Regions from separate parts of the Mus musculus genome. Here regions 2 and 3 are each reported to be linked to region 1. Evidence: microRNA targets listed by miRTarBase, many of them from high-throughput screens and not tested one by one. Region 1 holds a microRNA gene; each other region holds the end of a gene's coding sequence.

Region 1 (7,718 bases):
CCCAGCCCTGGCCTGTTGTTCTCAAGTGATGGACATCTGCTTAGCAATGACGATGACAGTATTCAGTGGCAGGGTTAAGAGGCTGGTGTTTCTGCTATCCCACTCACCTCTTGGCAGTTATCTCACACGGATCCTCCTGTCCCGGCCCCTCTACCTACTGGAGGCATGGGCCTGGTGGTAGAGCACTTTGCTCCCATTGGGTTTCTCTCACCCTTCAGCTTCCTCCAGGAATGAAGTGAGGCTAGAAAACGGCATGGAAATAGTGCTGGCAACAAGTGTGCCTGACCACCAAGGACAGTCTCAGTCTCTCCAGGGACAGAGGAGCAGACTCAGGTTCAGGCTTCCAGGCTTTCAACACAGGCTCAGTCTCACATCTGAGTGGTGGGAGGGAGAGTTCCTTAGAGGGGTTCCAAGCCCCTGCCTAAGGCTTGGACACCAAAGCTCTGAAGACCAAGCACTACAGAGTGGTCTACAGCAAACACTGACCCAGGGATCCAGCTTCTTGCTCTGCCCACTTGTGGTTTGGAGCAGGAGCCTGGGTGATGATCCACATCCTTCCTCCGCCAACAGTTCACTCATCACCTGAACCATATGCTATAGAGCAAACTCCTCCCTGGGTGAGACAGCTCAGAGGAGGAGGTCAAGCCTCCCTAGACATCCATTCTTCCGCCCTCAGACCCTGCTTCGCATCCTATTTGACAAGTTAACGTTTGCAATGTTCTGTGTCCTGTGAAGTCAGGTGGCTCACGGAAGAATGGAGACTGCACTTTCTTGACTCCAGAGGTCTCAGCCAGATGAGGGAAGCCTGCTTCCACAGCCTCATGGGCCTCTGGTGCAGCTATGGGTGGCAGGAGCTGCTGCCTAACTTGTTGGGGTGGGGGACTAGAGGAGAGGGGAGGATAGGCTTGCTCTGCACCCAGCCAGAGGTGGCAAAGGACAGCTCTACCACAGATCCTTCACCAAAGCTGTGAAATGGGCATCTGGTTCCAGTGAGATCTCCACTTACCTGAAACCCATTGGCAAGAACCCAAGCCAGACACAGCCAGGCACAGGGCTCAGTGACCCATGGGGACAAGGGACTTGATCCCTGAACAAAACCCACCTTAGGCGACAGCTTTGTTTTGCTTTAGTGGTTCCTAAGAACAAAGAACAAAACCAGACTAAACCAGTGCTTGGCTGCTCTCTCCAGTTCAGAGGAGGTATGGGCCACTGAGGTTCTCAGAGGGGCCTTACAGGGTGTGTGGTTCTTAGTCCACCTCTAAGCAAGGCCAGAGTGCTTCTGAGAGCAGGAAGGCATAGACTCAGCCATTTATTTCAAGTCTTCACAGAAATCAGGGTAACATTAAGTAGAATTAACACACTTTGATACTTGTACCATTGTGGTATACAAAGCAGATAACCATTTGCAAGTCCCCTGCAACCATCCAAATGCAGTCACTGCTACAGCCCAGGCTCTGAAAACCAATGGTTCTGTGCGGACGCTCCTCTCAGTCTGTCCTAGAGCCTTTGTCACCCAGCAGGTCTGGGTGCAGAAGCCTGGCCAGCCAGTGGGATGCTCCTTCTGGTTCCTCTGTCCACCGCTCTGCCTTGGCTGGGCTCATGTGACTGCACTGATGGCTCAGTCTCAAGCACCGTTCTCTAGACAGTGACTGAAAGAGCTTAGAGCTTGTTCTGAGACTCCGCTAGTACCAGGCTGGCTGAAACTCCACATTTGGAAGAGAGCAGAGTCCCAAGCCACACTAATTTCCCTTTACTTCCAACCTTTTTAGAATTAACATTACCTGGAGGTAGGAAGTGTGTGGAAAGTGCCTGTTCTGACACACGTTCTTCTTTGCTTTTAAGGAGCATCAAATTCAGAAGCAAACTGGAACACTAGCAAATCTGGTACTTTATTAAGACATTTTAGGCTTTCCTGCATTTTCAAAAACAGGAATGCTCTGTTGACTGAACACATCAAAAGGGCTTTGCAGAATCCTTGGGGACCAGCCACAGGAGGTGTCACATGATTCTGCAGTCTCAGAGCATGGCAGCTAGTTTTTGCAATCACAGGAAGCAGGCAACCGGCTCTCCATCTGCCTAGGGGAGGGTGTCCTTCATTGAATGACTGCCTTAAAGTCACAGCTCAATTCCAGTGTGTAGACTCAGTCTCTCTAGGACTGGGAACAAAGGCAGCTGCCAGGTGCAACAGTTTATGAGGCTCCGCCTTTTATATATGCCACGGGAGCCCAGTCTCTGGAAGCCCAAGATGGACCAACCACTGCTGTGGGCTGATGGCCTTAGCAGCCACATAATCCTCCCTTTGATGTCCAGGGTCAGTGCAGTCCTGGCCCCACCAGGGCTAGGAGAAGGTATATGAGAATCTCACTGTGATCTGTCCTGTGGAGGAAACAGCAATAAAATTTATTACCCAGTCACCACAGCCATTCCAACAGGAGTCCTCCCAGCCTCTGACCTCCACTTGAGAGGGAACTTTTCATGGGAGGACAGGGGCAACACTGAAGCCACACCTCACAATCCTGGGTCTGGGGTGCACAGTCACGGCACAGGCCATGCAGGGCTGTGAAGCCCAGAGAGGTTCAGAAAGGCTCTACAGACAAGGCCCTTCAGACAGGCATTCTCACTGCTCAAGGCAGCGGTGACATGGTGTGCTCTGCCCCAACACGTGGCAAATGCTCAGCGCCTGCCCTACCTGCTTCTAGGGAATGCAAACTTTCCAAGGTTAGCTCTGCACTCTACAAATCCCCACCTCGGGAGCACATACAGAGGGATACCACTGCTGTTGGGTCTGGTACCAGACACTCAGGCCCTTCATCTTCTTCTCCGTGGGAGGCCTGCCTCAGGCACTTACAGATGGGTAGGCTTTTTGCTCAAGGGCTCGACTCCTGTTCCTGCTGAACTGAGCCAGTGTGTGAAATGAGAACTGATATCAGCTCAGTAGGCACCGGAGGGCGGGTCCAATCACAGCTGGGCAGTGCCTCCTGGCGTGCCCTGGGCATCATCTTGCCAGCGACTGTGGAGACATGGAGACCTGGACTGCAAATACAAGAAAGAGTTCACCACGCCCAGCAGGGACAAAGAACCACACCCCCACCCATCACGTGTGGCATCAGCTGAGACAAGGTTGGCTCAGTTTCCTTGATGCACCTGGGTTTAGTTTTCTGTGACTCCCAATACACTTGACATTACAGTGAACTAATTAGCAGTAGAACTGTATTTTCTGTAGACACACTTAAGGGTGGTCAGCACGCTGTTTGCACTCTTGACAACACAGCCTTGAGGCAGGCTGGTCTCTCCTCCTCTGGAGTGACCACCAGGCAGTGGCCTCTGCCTGGCAGCTGCAAGTTAACTGTCCCCATCTCACCTTCTCTTCAGGTGCAGAACTTAGCCACTGTGAACAAAGCGGAAACCAATCACTGTTCACCAATCAGCTAAGCTCTGCACCTTGTTAGAGAGGTCATCGCCGGCCATAATTAAAGGGCTGGTGAGCATCTTCGAAGGCTGTTGGCTTCTTTTGTTTCCAAAGAGCCACAAGGCGCCTCTGTTCTCCAAACTGCAGAGAGAAAGTAGCCACGGTTCTGCAGGAGCAGCCAAGGTCATGGTTGCGTGGTAATCCCTGGCAATGTGATTTTAATCTCAAGTCACAAATCAGCATGCCAGGAACCCAAGCAGCCAGAGCAGGTGAGGGCAGCACCATGCCCAACCACTCCCATCCACATGTGCTGAGTGTCCTCCAAACCGCCTCTGAGCCCACCACGCTAGCAGTGCAGCCTGCTGTCCTTCAGCGCGCTGGCTGCACTGTATAGAGGAGCATAGGGGACTGGGAGACAAAGGACACACTTATCAGCTATGAGACCAATACCTTAGGGACCATCCTTGCTCTGAGTATGTGGCCTTTAACCCTGGGACACACCCTGTTCTCCAATTGCAGACTGAATGGGTTGGGATGTCTCTGGGCCCCTCAGACAGCAGGTGTGGTGTGTAGGGAGGGAGCATCTCTCTGGCTTGCCTGTGACCAAGCATTTGGTTGGATAAGCTGAGGCATAGCACAGAGCTCATAGGGGACCTAGCAAGTTGAGGATTTGCTCACTCAGGGGGCAAAAATACTCTTAGAAGAGTCACTAGGACCACTATGTGACTATGGCTTTCCTAAGTGAAGGCCTAGGGACCTAAAAAGGGAACAGTGGCTTTACTGTGTGACCTTCACACACCACATACCAACAATCCCTCAGCTTACAAGTTTCTAGAGAAATGTCTGCAGGAGGCAGTGAAGAGGCGCCCCGACCGACTCTGTCTATCCACACAGGCCACCGTCCTAGCTTGTAGTGTGCAGGCTTAGCAGGCTGTACCTGCTTACTCCAGCCCACTATCTCCCCTGCTTGACTGTGGCGGTCCCCAGCTCTTCTGCAACAACATGGTCATACATAGTAACATGTTTTCCCTTCATCAGTGTAGTTCTTCAGAAAAATAAACATTACACAGAAGTGGGTTTTATAAAAGTGAAATGTGAAAATGTAAATTTAATGTCTGACAATGGGTTAAGATTAGCAACACAATTCTAAATATTCATTAATTGGTAATCATAGAGAACAACAGAGTAACACAGTGATTGATGTAAAATTTCAAACATATACAAAAGTAAACATCATATGTACCACCATGGCAAGCGATAATGTCCTGGGATGATGTAGAGATGATGACTGGCGACTATGAAAGAGACGCACTAGCCCACACCTGTCTCAGAACTCCACGCCCTGTGGCTGAACTGCATTACTGGTCCACAAGCTGGCTACAGAGGAGGCAAGTTACACCACAGCCAAGGACTCTGGGAGCCAGCGTAAATCCTGTTCCAGCACGAGATGGAAACAGACTTGCCTTTAGGACGCAAGTGTCACTTGGATGGAGGGGCAGAGAAGACCTGCTGCCTACTCTACAGGTCAGAGAACCAGAGGCCAAGGAGTCTCAGGTTTACACAGCCTCTAGGAGAGATGCCTGCATGCTGAAGCCTGGAGCAATGAGGCCATGGACCGCTGTGTTGACCTTGACCCTGGAGCCTGTGGACCTGTGCAAAATCCAGGGTGGCTAAAGCAGTGCCAGATCTGTTGCTCCTTCAGCTGTACCTGCTTCACACCCATGCTTCCAGCAGGTGAGGTGCTCCAGAGATCCTGAGCCTTCTTCCTGTTCCTGAGGACCCACCTTGCTGCTTCCTCCCCAAGACCGTTTGGCAGCCCTCTGGTGCTGTGGCTCATCATGTGGCTTACCAATTGACATGGATGGTTAGAAGAAAGAAAAGAGAATTACCTCTTTAGAACAGCATTTCAGTCACCACCTGGGCCGATGCTCTGTCCATGTGTTCCTTCACCAGCTCAAAGCACCTGTGGGCTAGCTGCTGCAGCCTGGCGTCCTCACTCACCATCAGCTCCCCATACAGGTATATGCCCATGGCCTGCAGACCGTGAAGGCCAGAGAAGAATGGGAAAGGGGTAAGAGGCTGCACATGTTTATGGGGACTTGTTTGTATTGCTTTACACAAGCTGGTCTAAAAGCACAAAGGACAGAGAGAGAGCCTGCTGCCGTGCAGGTGACCAACTGAAGCTTGCACCTTCTACTCTGTCTCCATTGTCCTTATCAACACTCTATGGAAGCTGAACATGGTAGCACAGGCCTTTAATCTCAGCACTGGGAGGAAGAATAGGACGATCTTTGTGAATTCAAGGCCAGCCTGGTCTACATAGCAAGTTCTAAGCCACACAGAGTCACACAATGACACCTTGTCTCAAAAAACAACAGAAATACAGAATTCTATTGATTCTGTCAACCGACTCCGGTGCCCGAGTAGCAAGCTATCCCAAGATGGCTATTGTCAGGAATACACTGGGCAGAGGCAGAGAGCTCTCAAAATGGTCACCATGGAAAACCTTGTCTGTCAGGCCAGTGCATCCTAAAGGGTAGCTGGCATGAGCTTGCTTACAAAGTCCATCACCTAACAGGCCACAGAGACCACATGGCCAGCAGTGCAGGCAGGGCAGATGCTGTCACTTTGGCCTAACCCAGCCACCAAATGTCAGACTCTTGGCTCTTCTGCTTTGAAAACAATGCTACAAAGGCTTGAATTCTCACTGAGCCAACATTAAAAAAGCAGCCAATTACATTCTGCAAGTTCTGCCCGCTTTCTTGTTCTATGGAGTTTCTCAAGGGTTACATTCTGCTTCAAATTCAAGTGTTTCAAAGGCAGCATAGGATAAAAACTCAGTGTCGGCTTCCAAAGAGCTTTCCTGCAGGGGCTGAGGCGTGGAGGTCCCTGTACAGCAGACAGCATGGCTATGCCAGTGAGCTGCTCTTAGCTCTGTTCCTGTCTGCTTTCTCAAACAATTCTTACTCCACTGTGCAAATGTGACATTTCTGCTGTAAAAAAGTCACATCCTTTGCTTTATGGGAAAAACCAGCCCTCACTTTGACTCTGTCAAAAGTCCTTTTGTCCACCACACCCCCACTTTCCATCCCATTCAAAGTGGCTCTAGCCCATCAGCCCACAGTATGCACACAGGCTAGCCAGAGGCGCCAGTTGGGGTTGGGAGTGGGACAGAGTATGGGGGAGGTCATGTGGAAACATGTCATGAGGTACAAAACATCAGAGGAGGTACCCTGAAGGATGACCCCAAAATGTGTCACAAACCAGAGAGGTGGCACATGAGGTTACACACACATACATGTACGTACACAAACACACAAACACACACACACACACACACACACACAGAGCCTGAAATTTGAGGCAGGAGACTGCTTCCTAGGACATTCTTAAAAGGAGAGAATACACAGGCTAGGCAGGGCCTGGCATGGGTATGACATGGTGTGAATTCCCAACAGGTGACCCAAGGGTTTCCCATGTGATTCACACATGTGCTGTGCTGTGCTTGCAATCAGAGCCTTACAAGCTGGATGGACCCATGGTGTTGCTAAGCAATGGCCTTGGACTGAGAGTTCTAGGGTAAGCCTCACCTAATGCCACATTCCGTCCACAGCCAGGACAGAGGACGGGGTTCTGTGAGGACACTGAGGGCATCAGCTCACAGCTGCCAGTGATCTTCAGATGCTAACTAGCCCTTCAAAGTTTTTGAAACTCCTTCAGATAATTTGTTCTGACAGGGATGTGGAGAACTTGGGACTGGGAATGGTGGCCAGTTTCTATCTCTTGGAAGATCACACTCACCTGGTCCTCCAGTAGGAACCTCTCCACCTGATTGTATGCCTTTGTGTACTTGTGCTTAATAACCAGTTCACACCATCGATGGCGAACCTGGGAAACAAGACAGGAAACCTGGTAAGCAATGCTCCTCTGCCAGGAGAGTGTGGGGATAAAGGGCGACTGTACTGCAATTTCACCAAAGCACGGGGCACTTGTGTAGGAAGTGTGGCTGAACGAGCGGTTGCATTTCATTTCTTCCTAAAATCGAGGACTGGAACTCCCAAGTACAAGGACTGTCAGCCAACAGTAGTAGAAAACACACAGAGCTTCGGGAAGCAGCTTCCCTGTGCCACGAGCAACAGGGATGGGGGTCGGGCCTGTACTCGGCCTGTTTGGCTCCGTTTCGCCAGGTTTAACAATTAAAATGCAGTATGTAGGAAGCTGCCAACTCCGAGCTCACACCAAGCCGGGGTGGGTCCCTACCTCTGCTCAGATTCATGGAGAGGCTCCAGCAGGCTGCTCTTGAGCTTGC
Region 2 (7,718 bases), not on the chromosome of region 1:
CCAGGACATACTCCCGGGGCCCGCGGTGGGCAAGCGAAGTGGTGACCTGAGAGCTGACAGGCTGCGAGAGGGAAAAGTATAGACAGGCCTAGACCAGGGGAAGGGGAGGGGATAGAGAGCTGGGCCTGCTACGAGGGGACCTGAGCCAGAAGCGCACTGGTAAAACCGAACTCCAGGACCAGAGACCCAGAGATCAGAGGTGAGAGGCACAGACGCGGGAGTCCCGGCTCGGCGAGGGGCGGGAGTGGAGGCGGGGACTAGGGGGGTCTGGGGAGGTGCGGGTTTGGGGGGAGGGGGCGGGTCCTTCCACGGGATGGGGGGAGGGGCGGGGGCCCATGTGACCGGCTCAGACCGGTTCTGGAGACAAAAGGGGCCTTAGCGGCCTTAGCGGGACAGGCCGGAGCGGGAGGGAGCGAAGCATCGAGCAGTGAGCGAGTGAGCGCACGCAGTGGCTGTGGCCCCAGTCCCTTCAGGCGGCTGCTCTGCCACCAAGGGGGCTGAGGTGGGGGTGGGGGTACGCTGAGACATCGGTTCCAAGTCCTCCCTCCGTCTCCCCCTTGTCGGTCCGACGTTTTGGGCCTGGAAAGTGGGACAAGTCAGTCAAGGGTGGGAGGTCCTTCCCGCGGTTCCTAGCGGAGAAGAGACTAGGCGAGAAACTCTAACCCAGGTTTTACCCCTAGGATGCAGCACCGAGGCTTCTTCCTTCTCGCCCTTCTTGCCCTCTTGGTGGTCACGTCCGCGGTGGCCAAAAAAAAAGGTGATGGGATAGGATGGGCTCAGGAGTAAAAGCTGGGGTGGGCAGGTGAGGCAGGCCGTGTGACCAAGTGCTGGTCCGGCACGCCATGTCCTTAACTTTGTTCCTTGCGCCCTGTAGAGAAGGTGAAGAAGGGCAGCGAGTGTTCGGAGTGGACCTGGGGGCCCTGCACCCCCAGCAGCAAGGACTGCGGCATGGGCTTCCGCGAGGGTACCTGTGGGGCCCAGACCCAGCGCGTCCATTGCAAGGTGCCCTGCAACTGGAAGAAGGAATTTGGAGGTGAGGTGGCGCGCGGGAGGAGGGCGGGAAGCCAGAGGGTATGTCCTTATAAACCGGAGGCAGGGAGGACATCCACAACCCTCCTGTCTCTCACCGTGGGGCCACTCTCCCATCAGCCGACTGCAAATACAAGTTTGAGAGCTGGGGGGCGTGTGATGGGAGCACTGGCACCAAAGCCCGCCAAGGGACCCTGAAGAAGGCGCGGTACAATGCCCAGTGCCAGGAGACCATCCGCGTGACTAAGCCCTGCACCTCCAAGACCAAGTCAAAGACCAAAGGTCAGCGAATATGGTGGGGTTGTGGGCCAGGCTACTCCATGCTCTGTCTCTGCAGAGCAGTCTTAAAGTTAGGAATGGGCAGGCACTTGAGGGCCACTCTCAGGAGATGCTAAACCCTCTGCCCAAGTAGGAACTACTCTTTCTGTTGGATCATCCGACCTGGGTTCCTGGGAAAGGCTTGTCTTTGTCAACTGAGGAAGGTGGGGTGGGATCAGGGAGGAGTTAACTCTGCGCTTAAAACTATGGAAAGGCTGTCCCAAAGGTACATGCTGCTACCTGACTCCCAACAGCTATTGAGGCCAGCAGGGCAGAGGTGACTCTGCCCATTTCCCCGGTGAGGAACTTGGAGTACTCTGATCCTAGATGAAAATAGAAAGTTGAAAGTCAGGCTTGGTAGCTCGTGCCTGTAAAAAGCGGCACTTCAGGACTGAGGCAGTAACACTGCCTTGAGTTCAAGGTTACAGACTGAGAGACTTGAGAGTCTGTCTTTAAAGGGGGGGGGGGGGCGCGAGGGTTAAAAAGTTGAACGAATAAAGAAAGGTTTCATATCACATGGCTGCCCTTTCCCACCACTTCCAGGTGAACTGGTCAGTCACCACTAGGGGGCAGGATTTTCTCTCCTTGATGGACATGTCTGCGTTGTCTGGTGAGTCCGAGCTAGGTCACCCACCGCACTAATGCATCTCCGTTATTGTTTTCCAGCCAAGAAAGGAAAAGGAAAGGACTAAGTCAGGAGGCCAGAGAGCCTCCGGCCTCGCCTGGAGCCTGAACGGAGCCCTCCTCTCCCACAGGCCCAAGATATAACCCACCAGTGCCTTTTGTCTTCCTGTCAGCTCTGTCAATCACGCCTGTCCTCTCACGCCCACACCAAGTGCCCAAAGTGGGGAGGGACAAGAGATTCTGGAAAGTGAGCCTCCCCATACCCTCTTTTGTTCTCCCCACCCTGATACTTGTTATTAAGAAATGAATAAAATAAACTCACTTTTTTCCAATAAAAGCTTCTTTTTTAATATATAAAAGCCCCTTCCCAGTTTGCCATGGAGCTCTGTCGGAGGTGGGAAGATGGGGAAAGATGGACTGAGGGGAGCTGAGGGCTATGAAGGAAGTGCTCCCTACAGCTCGTGGAAAAAGAGCAGAACATTTACAAAAAAAAAAAAAAAAAAAAAAAAAGTCTCCCAGGGACCCACAGGGCTGGGGTTAGGGAAGGGGACCTAGGTGACTCACTTGAACTCTGTCCCAGCTCATCAAGAGTTTCTGGTCCAGGCTACTGCAAGTCTGGAATTTTCTCATTGGGGATCCATGAGGGTGCTTGCTTGTGTCATTCGCCACTGTGGGCTGTATGGATCACCAAGTTCCCCACCATCACCTTTCCCTCCTTGGACCCATACCTCCCTCCGCTCAGAGGTAGAGAGGAACACTGCCCACTGCTGTTCATTTGATGTGTGACCTGGGGGGGGGGGTTCTTGACAATTTGACAATAAGATCCACCATTAATTGATTCAGTCCCCTGGAGTCTGTATCTCGGCTTAGCATGGCCTCCCAGTTGCCCTGTCCAGATGACTGCTGGCCAGGGGAGTGCCAAAGGGCTTGGCTTCCCATCCAGAGCCTGGCTGAGCAACAGTGGCAGGGAAGTCCCTCACCTTGGAGTGGGACTTGGGGGCAGGGGAAGGGCTGAGCCTACATGCAAGGGAGAGGAGGGCGCAGGAAGGCGGAAAGCACCGATTACAGCATAACGGGGGACCCCACCCTTGCAAGCCTGGCTCCTTTTGCTCCTCTCAAGATGCTCCCAAGTTCTGCTCTATTCATCCACCTCCACCGATGGTTGGCCTTGATAGAGCCACTGCCCACTCCAGCCATCGTCCCCCATCTTCCTGAGGCAAGGTAAAAGATATGGGCCAGGTGGTGCCAGTTCAGACCGTCCCTGGGCCGAGCCTCCTAGGCTTCAGTAGAGATCTGCTCTCCCATCCCAGCGAAGAGCCTCTTGTACCTCACGGTGTCTGGGAGACCTGTTCTCTTCAGCAGATGCGAACTCAGAGTGGGGCCGCCTACTCTCTCCTCCACAGCCGGTGAGCCATGTGGTTCCCCGGTACACACTCTTGACACCAGCACCTCCTAAGGCACCTGCCCGTCTACCTGGCTGTGCCGATGTTCCGATACTGGCACAGCAAAAGGTGCCGGAAGGTCTTTTTGAAAGTGGCATTGCAGAGTGCATAGCAGGCAGGGTTGATCGTGCTGTTGACGTAGCAGAGCCAGTAGCCGATGGACCACACCCTTTCGGGGATACAGCTCTGGCAAAAGGTGTTCACCAGGACCATGACATTGTAGGGTGTCCAGGTGAGGATGAAGGCCAGCAGAATGGCAAAGATTGTCCGAGTCACTTTGCGCTCCCGGGCCGCCATCTGCCGCTTCTTGCGCACCTGGTTACGAGCGATGCTGGCAAACTTTCGGGCCACATTGGCTGCTGGGCGCATACCAGCTGGCGTGGCAGGTACGATCTCGATGGCAGTCACACATTCACTGCCTGTCTGCTTTGTCACAATTTGGATCTTGGACCACTTGGAGGCTGGGTTGAGGGTTCGTGGCTGCAGGGTAGGAGCGGGCAGCGCTGGTGTGGTGGCGGCCTCTGTGGTGGACAGCTCTGTGGGTGGCCGTTCCTTGGTGTTCTGGGTGGCACTGCCTGAGCTGGACTCATTGGAAGTGTCCTTGTCAGCCACTGGGCGTGGAGGCGGGGGCAGGGCTGGCGGAGGAGCCTCTTCTAGCTTCCCGTTGCGCAGTTCCTCTCGAGAAGCGCCCCCTGGTGGAGGTTTCTTAATGCTCGGCTTCATCAGAGGGCTCTTGAGGAAAGCCAGAGTCTTGGCCTTCTTCTCCTTGGGGCCCTCGGGTCGATGCTTGTGAACACGGCTGCGGCTGGCCAGCGAGATATGAATATACAGCACCGTCATGATGACCACAGGCAGGTAGAAGGCAGCAATGGCTGTGCCGAAGGTCACCGCCGGGTTGGACAAGAACTGGATGAAGCACTGGTTATCAGGCACTGTCCTCTTGCCCACCACAAACTGCCAGAACAAGATGGCAGGGGCCCAGAGTACAAAGGACAAGACCCAGGCGGCTGCAATCATGAGGCCTGCCATCTTAGTAGTGCGGCGGGCTGGATAGGTGAGGGGCTTGGTGACGCAGAAATAGCGGTCAAAGCTGATGATGAGAAGGTTCATGACAGAGGCATTGCTCACCACATAGTCCAGGGCCAGCCACAGGTCACAGACCACGGCACCCAGGGGCCAGTAGCCCTTGATGATGTATAAGGTGTAAAGGTTCATAGAGAACGCCCCTATGATGAGATCTGCACACGCCAGGCTGAACAGGAAGTAGTTGTTGACTGTCTGCAACTGCCTGTTGACCTTGATGGACAGCATCACCAGGATGTTACCCACCACAGTCACCAGGCTCAGGGAACCAGTCACTGTCGCAATGAACACCATCTCCACTGTCTCCAGGTGGTTGTGGGCTGTTGTGACCAGGCGCACAGACTGATTGGCTGAGCTGCCATTGACAGGTGTGAAGTTCGCCATGCTGAACCCAACTGGAGACAGGTGGGCAGTGGCTGGAGGAGGAAGGAGACAGCACAGAAGTGAATGGTGGAAGAGGATGGGGGAGGGGGGAGGGGGGGAGGAGTCACAAACTGTGGCTGGAGGAACTTTATCCAGGAAAATGTCAGGGCTCCCTGTGCCAACCATTCCTGAGTTCTCAGTCCTCTACCGTTTACTGGAAGCTTCCTCAGGCAAGTACTGTAATCAGCTCAGGGCTGAGGTTATAAAAGTGAATGAACACACATGGTCCCCATCTCAGAATGGATCATCTAGTTTTGGGGGGAAACAGAAACACATGGCGGGGGAGGGGGACACTGCTAGAAAGAAGATGGTGAAGGGAAGGCTGAGAGAGAAGACGGGAGAGAACTTGGTGCTTGCTGGCTGATCACCGGCCTCACCCTGAAGATGACGCAGATGAGGGCAAGGAGGAAAGCTGGTGGGAAGGAAGGCAAGGAGATACGGCAAAGGCCCAGAGACAGAGCTCAGGAAAGCAAGGGGCATGAGGAAATGGCCCCAAGGACTTGAAGCAGGCAGCGGGGCCAAATGTCTAGTTGTTTGCCCACTCAGGCCTGTCACTTCCCAACCCCTGTTTTTTGGTTACTGAAGGTTGTAGACAAAGCTATACACATGGCAGACATGTGCCACACACGTGTACCGCTGAGCTACATCTGCAGCCCCACTTGCTCATCTCTTTTCTTTCTTCTTCTTCCTTTAATTTTTTTGTTTGTTTGTTTTTGAAAGAAGGTCTTACTGTGTAGACCTGGCTGACCTCAAAGTCACAGGCCTTGATCTGCCTGCCTCTGCCTCTAGAGGACCAGAACTGCAGGTATGCTCCACCATGTCCAGCCACGTGGACATTTCTTAACCAATCGTGGCCAAGGGAGATTTGTTCTCCCATTCCTACACTGTCGTCGTCATCATCACCACCACCACCACCATCATCATCATCGCAGCCAGCATAGATTGTCTACTGAGTTCCTGCACTCTGTGTTTCCTCACAACCGAAGGCAGATATTGAGGAAACAGGCTCAGAGGTGTTAAATAAGGTTCCACATTTCCTTGACATCCTGTGGCTGCTCCAGTGCATTTGGGAGCAAGGAGAGCAGTCAAGAAAGACACAGGACCTGATGGTTCTAAGGGCTAGGGAGGTCACGCTAGCGACCAGAGGAGGTGAGGTGGGAGCTGGGACACCTGGAAGAGGAAGAATAGGAAAGGGACTAGAGAGATGACGCAGGAAGTTCAGCTTCGCCTGCCCAGCCCAGTCCCAGGGGTGAAGAATGGACAGAGTGGGGGCTGTTAGATCCCCAGCAAAGAAATCAGAAGCCTGAAAGACACAGCAGCTGAAGAAGGGTCTATTTGATTTCCCAAGAACTAAGGACAAGCTCCCTCGTGGAGCCAAAAGATGAGGGAATTACCCCGGAGCCAGCCTAAGAGTTCACATCCCACACAGAGGATGACCCAGCTAAAGTCCTACAGAGCCCCTCCCCAGAGTTTGCCTTCCCTCCCACCAGGCTCCCTTCATCTCTCCTCCTCCCCTTCCTCTTCCATACATGTGAGGGAGGCCCACGCCCAGCACGCTGTGCCAGGGCAGCCGCTCAGCCCAGCCTCCTTCACACCCGCCAACACACAAGCATTCCACATACGCACAAAGGCACCATCTCAGCCACACGCAGGTCGTATACGCAGTCCTGTGCGTCTGTGTGTGCATCTGTGTGTGTGTGCGTGCACGCGCGTGCATGCGAGCCTGTGTGTGTGTGTAAGAGGAAGAGAGGGTGCAGCAGCCAGCTGTGGAGGAACAGGCGCCAAGTCTGCAGCTTGGGTTCAATAGTAGGCCAGCAAGGTCTAGCTGTACAGTCCGAGGAGAACCATTTGCCCTCTGAGAACTAGTTCTGTCATTTACAAAATAGAGGATCTTGTCCCACTATGGCCTTTGAACAGCCAGGGGACCCCCTTAGCACCTCAGCTTGCTCTCCAACTGGAAATGGCACCAGCCAAGCTTGGGCCAAGCTCTCCAGCTCCAACACAAGAGATACAAGAGATTGCCTTCTGGCTTCAAAGTTAAATCCACTGGTCAAAGGAAGACAGGAGGAAGTGGGGTAGTGACACTCCAAGGTCACCCAAGGAGTCAAGGGCAAAAGACAGATCAGTTCTTTCAAGGGACTCCACAGTGGTATTCAGCTCCAAAATGGGGCCTTAAGCATCAGATGCTTGGAGGGTAGCATCAAGCATAGAGGCTGTTCTCCCTACCTCACCCCACCCCAAATACCCACTGGCAGGGACAGGGACGAGGCAGTAGGGGAGCCATTAGCATGCACCAAGGAAACCTTCACTTTAGTCTCTCAGGACCAGAGCACAGCCAGCAGCCAGCAGGATAAGAAGATGAAGGTGGGGAGGTGGGGGGCAAGATGTGTGAGCTAGGAAAAATACAATCTCTCTTGTTTATTGAGTCAGAAGCCCCTCAAAGTTTACTGCCTATAGCACCCAGACAAGGTAAGTACTATTGGTAACCTCCTCTTACAGACATAAAAGTCCTCTTACCGAAGGGCATCGTGATAATGAACCTGATCAAAGTCATCCATTCGTAAGAAGGGGAGGGTCTGCGACACTTTATCTCCAAGATATTCCCCAAACCACACAGGATAGAAGCCCCCCAAGATGCATCTTAGATGTGGAACCCTCATATTCCAGTTCCCTCACTTGGGTTTGACCTTTTGTCCTCCTGGGACCAAGAAACAGCCTTGACAAGTAAATGACCAGATGAATGGTGGGTGGTTTGGTCTTCCCGGAGCCCCGACAGATGCAGACTGGGTAAATTCAGTT
Region 3 (7,718 bases), not on the chromosome of region 1:
CAAGGCTGCACTCCCCTCAATGCCACGCTTCTTTTGCTATATTAGTTATATATTTCTATGTGTTTTGCCTGTGTGTGTATGTGTGTGTGTTTGTGCACATTGTGCATGCAGTGCCCTCAGAGGCCAGAAGAGGGTGTCAGTTACAGACAGTTGTAAGGTACCATGTGCATGTCAGGAGTCAAAACTGGGTCCTCCTAGAGCAACCAGTGCTCTTAACTGTTCAGCCCTCTCTCCAGCCCAGTGCTATGCTTTTAATACCATATTGATTTTAGGTTTTGTTGCTTTGTAAATACTACCTTCACTACAGTCAAACAAGGACAGGGTGTGTACTCTATAGATTTTGTGTAGTGAGTCTGAACAGCCCTGATCCCATACGGAGAGGTCTATAACAAAGAGGCTCAGACTAGAATACATTCCAGAGGGCTTCCTCAACACAGCAGCCCCACTCCAGAGCCCCCTGCTCAGGAGGACAGAGTGACTAAGGAATTGCACCTCCTTGTTTTTTCTTTTTTTCCTTTGTGAGTGTTCACACTTGTTAGTGAGGGTGGGTGTACACACGTCTGTAGACAGCAGAGGTCTTTGCTGGGTGCCTTCCTCAATCACACTCCACTTCTTCCCCCCAATACAGGGTCTCACTGTATAGCCCATGCTGGCCTGGAACTCCATAGACCAAGCTAGCCTTGAATTCAGATATCTGCTTGCCTTTGCCTCCTAAGTGCTGGGAATAAAGAAATTTGTGGTGGCACACACCCGGGATGCAGAAACGGGATCCTTCTGAGTTTAAGGCCAGCCTGGTCTACATAGGGAGCTGGAGGACAGACAGAACTATAGAGAGAGACTGTTTCAGAAACAACAAAAGCCATGTGTTGCCAGCTCACCTTAATTTTTTGAGACAGGCTTTCTTTCTCACAGAACCTGGAGCTAGGGTTGCTGTCGAGTAAGCTTTGGGGATCTGCAGGCTTTTTATTGGCTTATGGAGGTTGAGCGTTGGTCCCTTTATCAATATAAACGGAGCCATCTCCCTAGCCCCAAAGATCTGCATTGCTGATAAGGGCCCAGATGATACTGACACTATCTGGGACCCGAGCTTTAGATTCAGTCTCTAGGACGTGCACGCGCTTGTTTGACATCTTAGGTAATACAAAATCATTTCCAGAATTGTACCAATTACACTCCAGCCAGCCATGAAAAAGTGCCACACTAGATATCACCTGATGTATGCTCCCATAAGATGCAGGCTTCTGCCCAGCTCCTGTGTGTGAGGTGGCATTTCCTTGAGCCTGAGCCCTGTGTGTGTGAGCTGGCATCTTCCCATACCTTGTTCCTGAATTGCTTTTTCTTGGTCCTATGAAGAGAGGTTTTTCAATATCTGCTGTAGACATGAATCCTCTTTCTGTAAGAACAGCTGGTGCTGTTAACTTGTCATCTCTCCTGCCTGAACTATTTGTAGTTCTGTATATGTCTTGGATATTAATTGCCTGTCTGATGCATAACTTGGCAAGAATGGCTTTTCTCATCCTGTAGGCTGTTTTTCCGGGGAGTAACTGAGTGCATGCCCAGTGTACAAGGCCCTGGGTTTCATCTCCAACACTACAAAAGGAAAAGAAAAAAACAAACAAAAGCAAAACAAACAAACAAACCCAAGCCCTCTTCACTCTGGTGAGCTTTGCAGTACAGGATATGTAATTCCGTGTCAGTTCTTGGAATAATTTTTTTTTTTTTTTTGGTTCATTTTGTTTTGCTTTTTTGTTTTTCAGGGACAGGGTTTTTCTGTGTGGCCCTGGAACTCACTCTGTAGACCAGGGCCAGGCTGACCTCAAACTGCCTGCTTCTGCCTCTGGAGTGCTGGAATTAAATGTGTGTGCCATCACACCCAGTTAGAATATTTTGTGATGTTCAAGTCCTGTGTAAGGAATCCTTGCATATTGCCTGTATCTTAAGAGTGCGTTAAAGCCTATGCTCCCATCGGGCAGTTCCAGGATCTCACAGAAATAGAAAATGAGAACAGTGAGAAGGTTGCAGTGCAGCTGTCTCTTGTCTTTCTTTGATGCCTATGGGACAAGTGTCTGCTGTCCCCCAGAGCAGCTTCTGTGCAGCCTGTGGGCTTAGCAGGTTCTCCTTCCCCTGACTCATGCCATGGGGTGGTTCATGTTCTAGTTAGGATGTGGAATCCCATGTCAGTTCTTGGGATAATTTTTTTTGTTCATTTTGTTTTGCTTTTTTGTTTTTCAGAGACAGGGTTTTTCTGTGTGGCCCTGGAATTCACTCTGTAGACCAGGGCCAGGCTGACCTCAAACTGCCTGCTTCTGCCTCTGGGATGCACTGGTCTGCAGTAGTAAGTGGCCACTGCATTGAGATCTGGACATCCCAACATCCTGCCTTTGTACTGATGCTGTTGGAGAGACGCAGCTGTGGACAGCTAGCATCCCACTTTTGGGTGTCAGCCAGGTTCCCTGGGTAGATATCTGCCTCTGAGCACAATTTTGTTAGCCAAATGACAAATGATCATTTTTCATAGATGTCACAGTGCCTACAAGTGACTAGAGCTGACCCTGCTCTGGATCTATCCAGGCCCTTCTAGGTTCAGGATTTAACTGATAACATAGGACAAACGATTGTTGCTTACAGTTCTCCCCTGGAGTAACAGGTATAAAGACAGACATGAAGTACATGGACCGGGTGGGTCCCAGCCCAACCTCTAAGCCTTCAGGTCAGCTTAGCTACAGCCAGAGAGAGGCCCATCCTCTCCCACTGTCAGAGAGTGGGAAATTCACACTCTAAAAATATTTCCATGTCTCATGTAGGCAAGATATTGCAGGAAAGTGCCAGTGGGCTACTATGAATACAGTTCCTTCCTTACAGAACTCTGGCAAAAGCTAAGCCTTTTTTTAAGCCAAAATTAGGGTTCAGAAAGGTTAATCAATAGTCCTTGCAAGTCATAGCCTACTCAAACTGCCCAGGGGCTAACAAACTTGGGAGTTTTGGTCACTGTCCACTGAATTCATGTGGTGGCTGAAAGAAGCCTTTTTTCATAAGCAAAAATTGTCTAGCATCAACTTCTAAAGGACAGGTCACAGCATAGTGGCCTGTGCCCTGTCCCACAGCGGTACACAGGTGACTATGGGGCCTCAGGATGTTTGGGGAAAAGAATGGCTCAGTAATTTACTCATGATTGGATGGAGAAGTGACTTGATTTATAACTCAGAGCTCTGGGTATCTTGGTGGGGGCAGAGGGTTGTCACAGAAAGGCCAAAGGGCATCTAAATGGGGTGGGGCATCATTCCACAGACCAGCAGCCAGAGGAAAGGAAAGAAGAAAACCACACAGCCTGTGAACAAACACTAATTCATATTCACCCCCTTCCTTACCTGTCCCTGTCATATGTGTGCACTTGTGCCACACCCTGCTCGCCATAGTCTGAGACCTCTGACCATAAACGAGCCTTACCATGGGCCTGTTTGAAGTGGTGAAGTATCTGGGCAGCCATACTTCATAGTCACAAAGTGCTTGGATGGCTCCCACGTCTGTCATTCTATGCTATTGGGTCATTTTGTCTTCTCTGGTGCCGGGGACATATCTACACCTTGTGATTGATAGGCAAACACGACACAGCTGAGTGACAGCCATTCCCTACAGTTTATACAACCTCTGTTGATAAGCAACTGAGTGTCCTGCAGAACACTTCTAAAACATTGTTTAAAGATTTTTTTATCGTATCAGTGCCTGTATATATGTGCACATGTTGCGTGATGCCCACACAGGTCAGGAGAGTGTGCGGGATCTTGGAACTGCATCAGGAATGGTTGTCAGCCACCATGCGGTGCTGAGATCTGAAACCAGTCCTCTACAAGAGCAGCTAGTGCTGCTCTGAGATTTTTATTTAAACTTTCTTAGAGATGTGTATCCGTGTTCCAGAGGTCAGTCACCCTCAGATATTGTTTTGCAGGTCTCAACCCTGAGCCCAACAAACCCTTCTCAGTTTACCACAACCATCACTGGTGAAGAGTGGGTGGGCTCACGGGGTGTGTGCAGCGCCTCTAAGCACACTTCAGAGTTGTCTATGCTCCACCTTTCATGGACTTGCCCTGAGCAGACTACCCTATGCTATCGTGGGCTCAGCTCAGTCTTCCCCACCTTCAGGAAGGGCCGAGGAAAGGGGGACATTGCACACTAGCTTTTTGACACGCGGTAGCATTTGTCTCTGTGTCATCAGTTCAGCAATGATACAGCAGGTACATTCTAATGTCTGAAATGAATAGCAGTAAGACCAAAAAGAATGGACAGCCACACTGAAGGCGGCATGAGGAACATCCTGCACACACTTCCTAGTGACGTCAGACAGAGCTGAAGCAGCAGGAACTGAGTGAAGTAACAGAAGAGCTCTCGGGGAGAAAAGCCACAAGTCCACACATAAACAGCAGTCCGTTTTATTAGATAAACAATGCCATTTTAGACCAACCCCACACTGTAGAGTTCTGTCATCAATACCCAGGAAAGCAAACACTGTCCTGTCTTGTATTTGTTCTGGCCCCTCATGCCTCAGCCCGTATCTATGGGTTTCTAAGAAGCAAAGTCCAGCATTTCAGAGGAAAGAGTGCTCGCTGGGAAGTCTAGGGGTTGGCCCCTGGCCCTCATATACCCAAACAGACACGTGTCTGTGCACACCATACAGATAAATATATATATATATACTCTTTTTTTTCTTTTACAAAAATAACACAGGGCTTGTGTAGGTCTATTAATTTTTAAAAATCACACAGGCGGAATTTACACTTCACCATAACCATTTTTTACTTTGGATTCAAGTGGGAATTTTAGGTCCCAAAATAATTTACAATCACCAAGGAGAGGTCCCGCAGCAGCGTACTGATGCATTCTGAGCTGCAGAGGACAGAGCCATCACCCCTGCACCGGGTGCTTCAGCCCACTCACAGCCTCGGCACACACACCACAGCTCACTAACTGCATGGTGATCTATGTTCCCAGGATGTGTGTTCAACATGTGCTCGTATGATGTCATTAAATACCATCCCTAACCAGCAACGCAGAGAAGTAAAGTGCAAAGCAGGGGTGCAACCAAGAGGACCGAGAGATCCTACCAGACAGACAGACACACAGACAGACACACAGAGAGAGCTCTAATCTGCAGCTACATTTCATGTACAGATTTATCAGAAGAAATGCATTTGGTTAGTGGCATGGAAAAAATTGAAATTCTAGTCTTTCTCCTAGAATATTCAAATGCTCATGAAACAGCATAATAAAGCTGACCATCCATCTGGTGACTGAATAAACAGAATGCTACGTGGCAGTTTAAAAACACAGATCCTGGGACTAAAGGCTCTACCAGCAAGTGTCCAGAATGTGAGTTAACGGATACTCTACCTTGCATATGGAATACTAGTAAGGATAGCTACTAAGTGTCTACACAGATGACTGTCACAGGAGAATGAACAAACTCTGTCCCCCAAGGTAAGAGGCCTGCTGATGTGAGGTTCCCCTAACACAGGCCACCTCCCCCCAGGTGGAAGTCTCTGACACCTCAAATCTATCCATCTGGCTCAAGCTTGGTACTGGACATGCTTCTGGATGCTGGTGTGACTCCTGCTGCTGGTTCCACAAGGGCGTCTCAGGTGCCCACGGCAGGAGCTGCCGCTCCTCCTCCTCCCCCTAGAAAAAGGAGGTGTCTGAGGAAAAGGCACCCGCGAGTCTGAAGTCCTCCTTGGTGAGTACGCTGTACATACGCTGTGGCAGGGCCTTGGAGTAGGGAGCAGGCCGCGGCACAGTGGCCCTCAGGATCAGCTCCCGGCCTGCAGGTGGTGGGAAGTCTGACACCAAGGTCTGTCTTCTCTCCTCTGGGCAGCCTGATTTCTTAAGCTCCTCCTCTGGCAGAGCCACTGCCGCAGCCTTGAACAGAACAGAACACCAAATTCAAGAGCCAGTCGAAAGCTACATTACCCAAGGGCAGATGGATAAACACAAGAAACACACAATGACCTGTGTCACTTGGAAATGCATTATATCCACTGTGTGTTATGATTGCTCAAAAGAACAAAAACAGAAAAGCAGAAAGCTGGAAAGAGCTTGGGCACTAGTGAGGCAGGCAGAGGTGGGTGACCAGCACTCTGCTCTGAAAAGCAAGGGCATTGGGGCTCCTCAGCAGTGGCAGAGCTGCACTGGTGCCTGCATTTCTGCAGGCAGTGACTCACATCTGAGTTAGACGTTAACAGGACAGACTTACTTTCAAGTCGAGAAAGGCAATTTTATCTCTGCTCTCTCAGCTAGTTCTTTTTTAGATTCTCTTGCCAAATTAGAACCAGGAACACTGGCTTTGACTACTGGGCATCTAATGTGACAGCAAGCTAACAGATGCCCATGGCCATAGCCACAGAGGAAAAGTGCTCAAAGCTGAAGGCATTGCTTGTACATTCAAACTGCACCAGTGCAGCCAATGGGAGCCTTCAGAACGCAATACTGTCCTTCTTTCATGATTCCACTGCTTGGGAAAATTCTTTGGGCAATGGAAACATGAAGTCAAGTTAAGCTGTACAGCCAGAGGGGATGCCACATCCAGCCGGTTAGAGATGGTTAGTTAAGATGACCTTATGAAGTTAGAGGGATGGGGAAGGACAAAGAACTATGAGGGACATAAGGCCATGTTGTTACCTCATCAGAAGATTCAGTCAGCTTGAGAAAGGTGAGAAAAGAAACAGTGATGAAAGGGACCGAGGGAGCTAAGGGCCGGGGCAGACTCGGGGGCACATCAGGAATGGCACGCACTGTGTGGGCATGACTCCATCCAAGGGCACTGAAGGTGCACAGAACCACATCACAGACCACACATGGCCAGCAGAGGCTCAGGCTCATGCATCTGACGGCTCAACAGGTGAAGTGCAGGGTCATTTAATGAGGAAATGACAGAAAACCCTCACTCTTTCAAACAAGATGCTGTTTCAAAAGATGCTTGACAAACCATAAATTTAAGGACAGATGTGTAGAAATAATTCAACTTAGTAAGACCGGAACAAAGCAGTTATTTTTGCTGAATTCTATTTAAATAAGTACATACCCAAACCTATATGGTCTCAGTCAACTTTATTACAGTTCAGAATTCTAATATTTTACACTTTGGGCTTGTGGGAGTGGGGCACTCATGTGTGCATATGCCACAGCACACACATGGAGGTCAGAGGACAGCTTTCAGGAGTGGGTTCTCACCATTTGGTATGTAGCTTCTGGAGAATAAACTGACAAAAGACTTGGCAGCAAGGGTTTACCCCTGTGCCGTGTCACTGGGCCTACAGTTTATAATTTTGAAGAAAAGTTCTAATATGAAGCTAATGTGTGCTATAAAAATTCAGCTACGCCTTAAATATAATTAAATCTTCCTTTGTTAGTAAAACTGGCACAGAGTACCTGCTCACCATGAAAAGTTACATAAAGTCAACAGTTCACTGAGCCAGATAGTGAGAGCTGAGTTAAAACACAACACAACCATGTGCTGGTCATCACATGGGTTCTGAAAGCGCTGACTACTGAGGTAGACTGAGAAGCTGTGCTGTGTGAGATACACTCACAACCTGAGGGTCTTGAGGAGGACCCCTGAGAGGCAGCGTCCGCCTCTTAGATATGATAAACACCGGAAGTAGAAACCATGAGGATCACAGCAGCCCGAGTGATGAAACATCCGTTGGTGTGTAAGACTTAAGTGCTCAAGA

Evidence for each region. Region 1 holds the annotated microRNA mmu-miR-24-3p (UGGCUCAGUUCAGCAGGAACAG, at 2,883-2,904, opposite strand). A microRNA usually pairs through its seed, bases 2 to 8, with sites in the 3' UTR of a target mRNA and lowers its output. Matches are read on the target gene's strand: a 7mer-m8 pairs with bases 2 to 8, a 7mer-A1 pairs with bases 2 to 7 and ends in A, and an 8mer does both.
Region 2: miRTarBase lists Mdk as a target of mmu-miR-24-3p. The part of its 3' UTR that is shown has no 7-base or 8-base seed match.
Region 3: miRTarBase lists Rab3gap1 as a target of mmu-miR-24-3p. Seed matches in the 3' UTR shown: 7mer-A1 at 5,558-5,564.

The regions. Positions count from the first base shown.
Region 1 is chr13:63,296,437-63,304,154 of GRCm38, reverse strand. It overlaps Mir24-1 (microRNA 24-1), which reads right to left and starts at 2,947; the gene lies at 2,880-2,947. Aopep (aminopeptidase O) reads right to left here. Exons shown (of 16, transcript NM_001289926.1): 15 at 7,211-7,297; 16 at 1,278-5,443. The coding sequence ends at 5,303. It overlaps Mir23b (microRNA 23b), which reads right to left and starts at 3,671; the gene lies at 3,598-3,671. Mir27b (microRNA 27b) reads right to left here and starts at 3,443; the gene lies at 3,371-3,443. It also overlaps Mir3074-1, Gm16907 and a transcript of Fancc not described here.
Region 2 is chr2:91,924,411-91,932,128 of GRCm38, reverse strand. Mdk (midkine) reads left to right here and starts at 270. Exons shown (of 5, transcript NM_001012336.2): 1 at 270-435; 2 at 681-757; 3 at 875-1,033; 4 at 1,150-1,311; 5 at 2,014-2,324. The coding sequence starts at 682. The coding sequence ends at 2,039. Chrm4 (cholinergic receptor, muscarinic 4) reads right to left here. Exons shown (of 2, transcript NM_007699.2): 2 at 2,300-4,912. The coding sequence starts at 4,880. The coding sequence ends at 3,441.
Region 3 is chr1:127,940,563-127,948,280 of GRCm38, reverse strand. Rab3gap1 (RAB3 GTPase activating protein subunit 1) reads right to left here. Exons shown (of 24, transcript NM_178690.4): 24 at 4,405-5,907. The coding sequence ends at 5,671. Among named protein-coding and RNA genes, the nearest start is that of Gm28800, 16 kb to the left of the region's middle.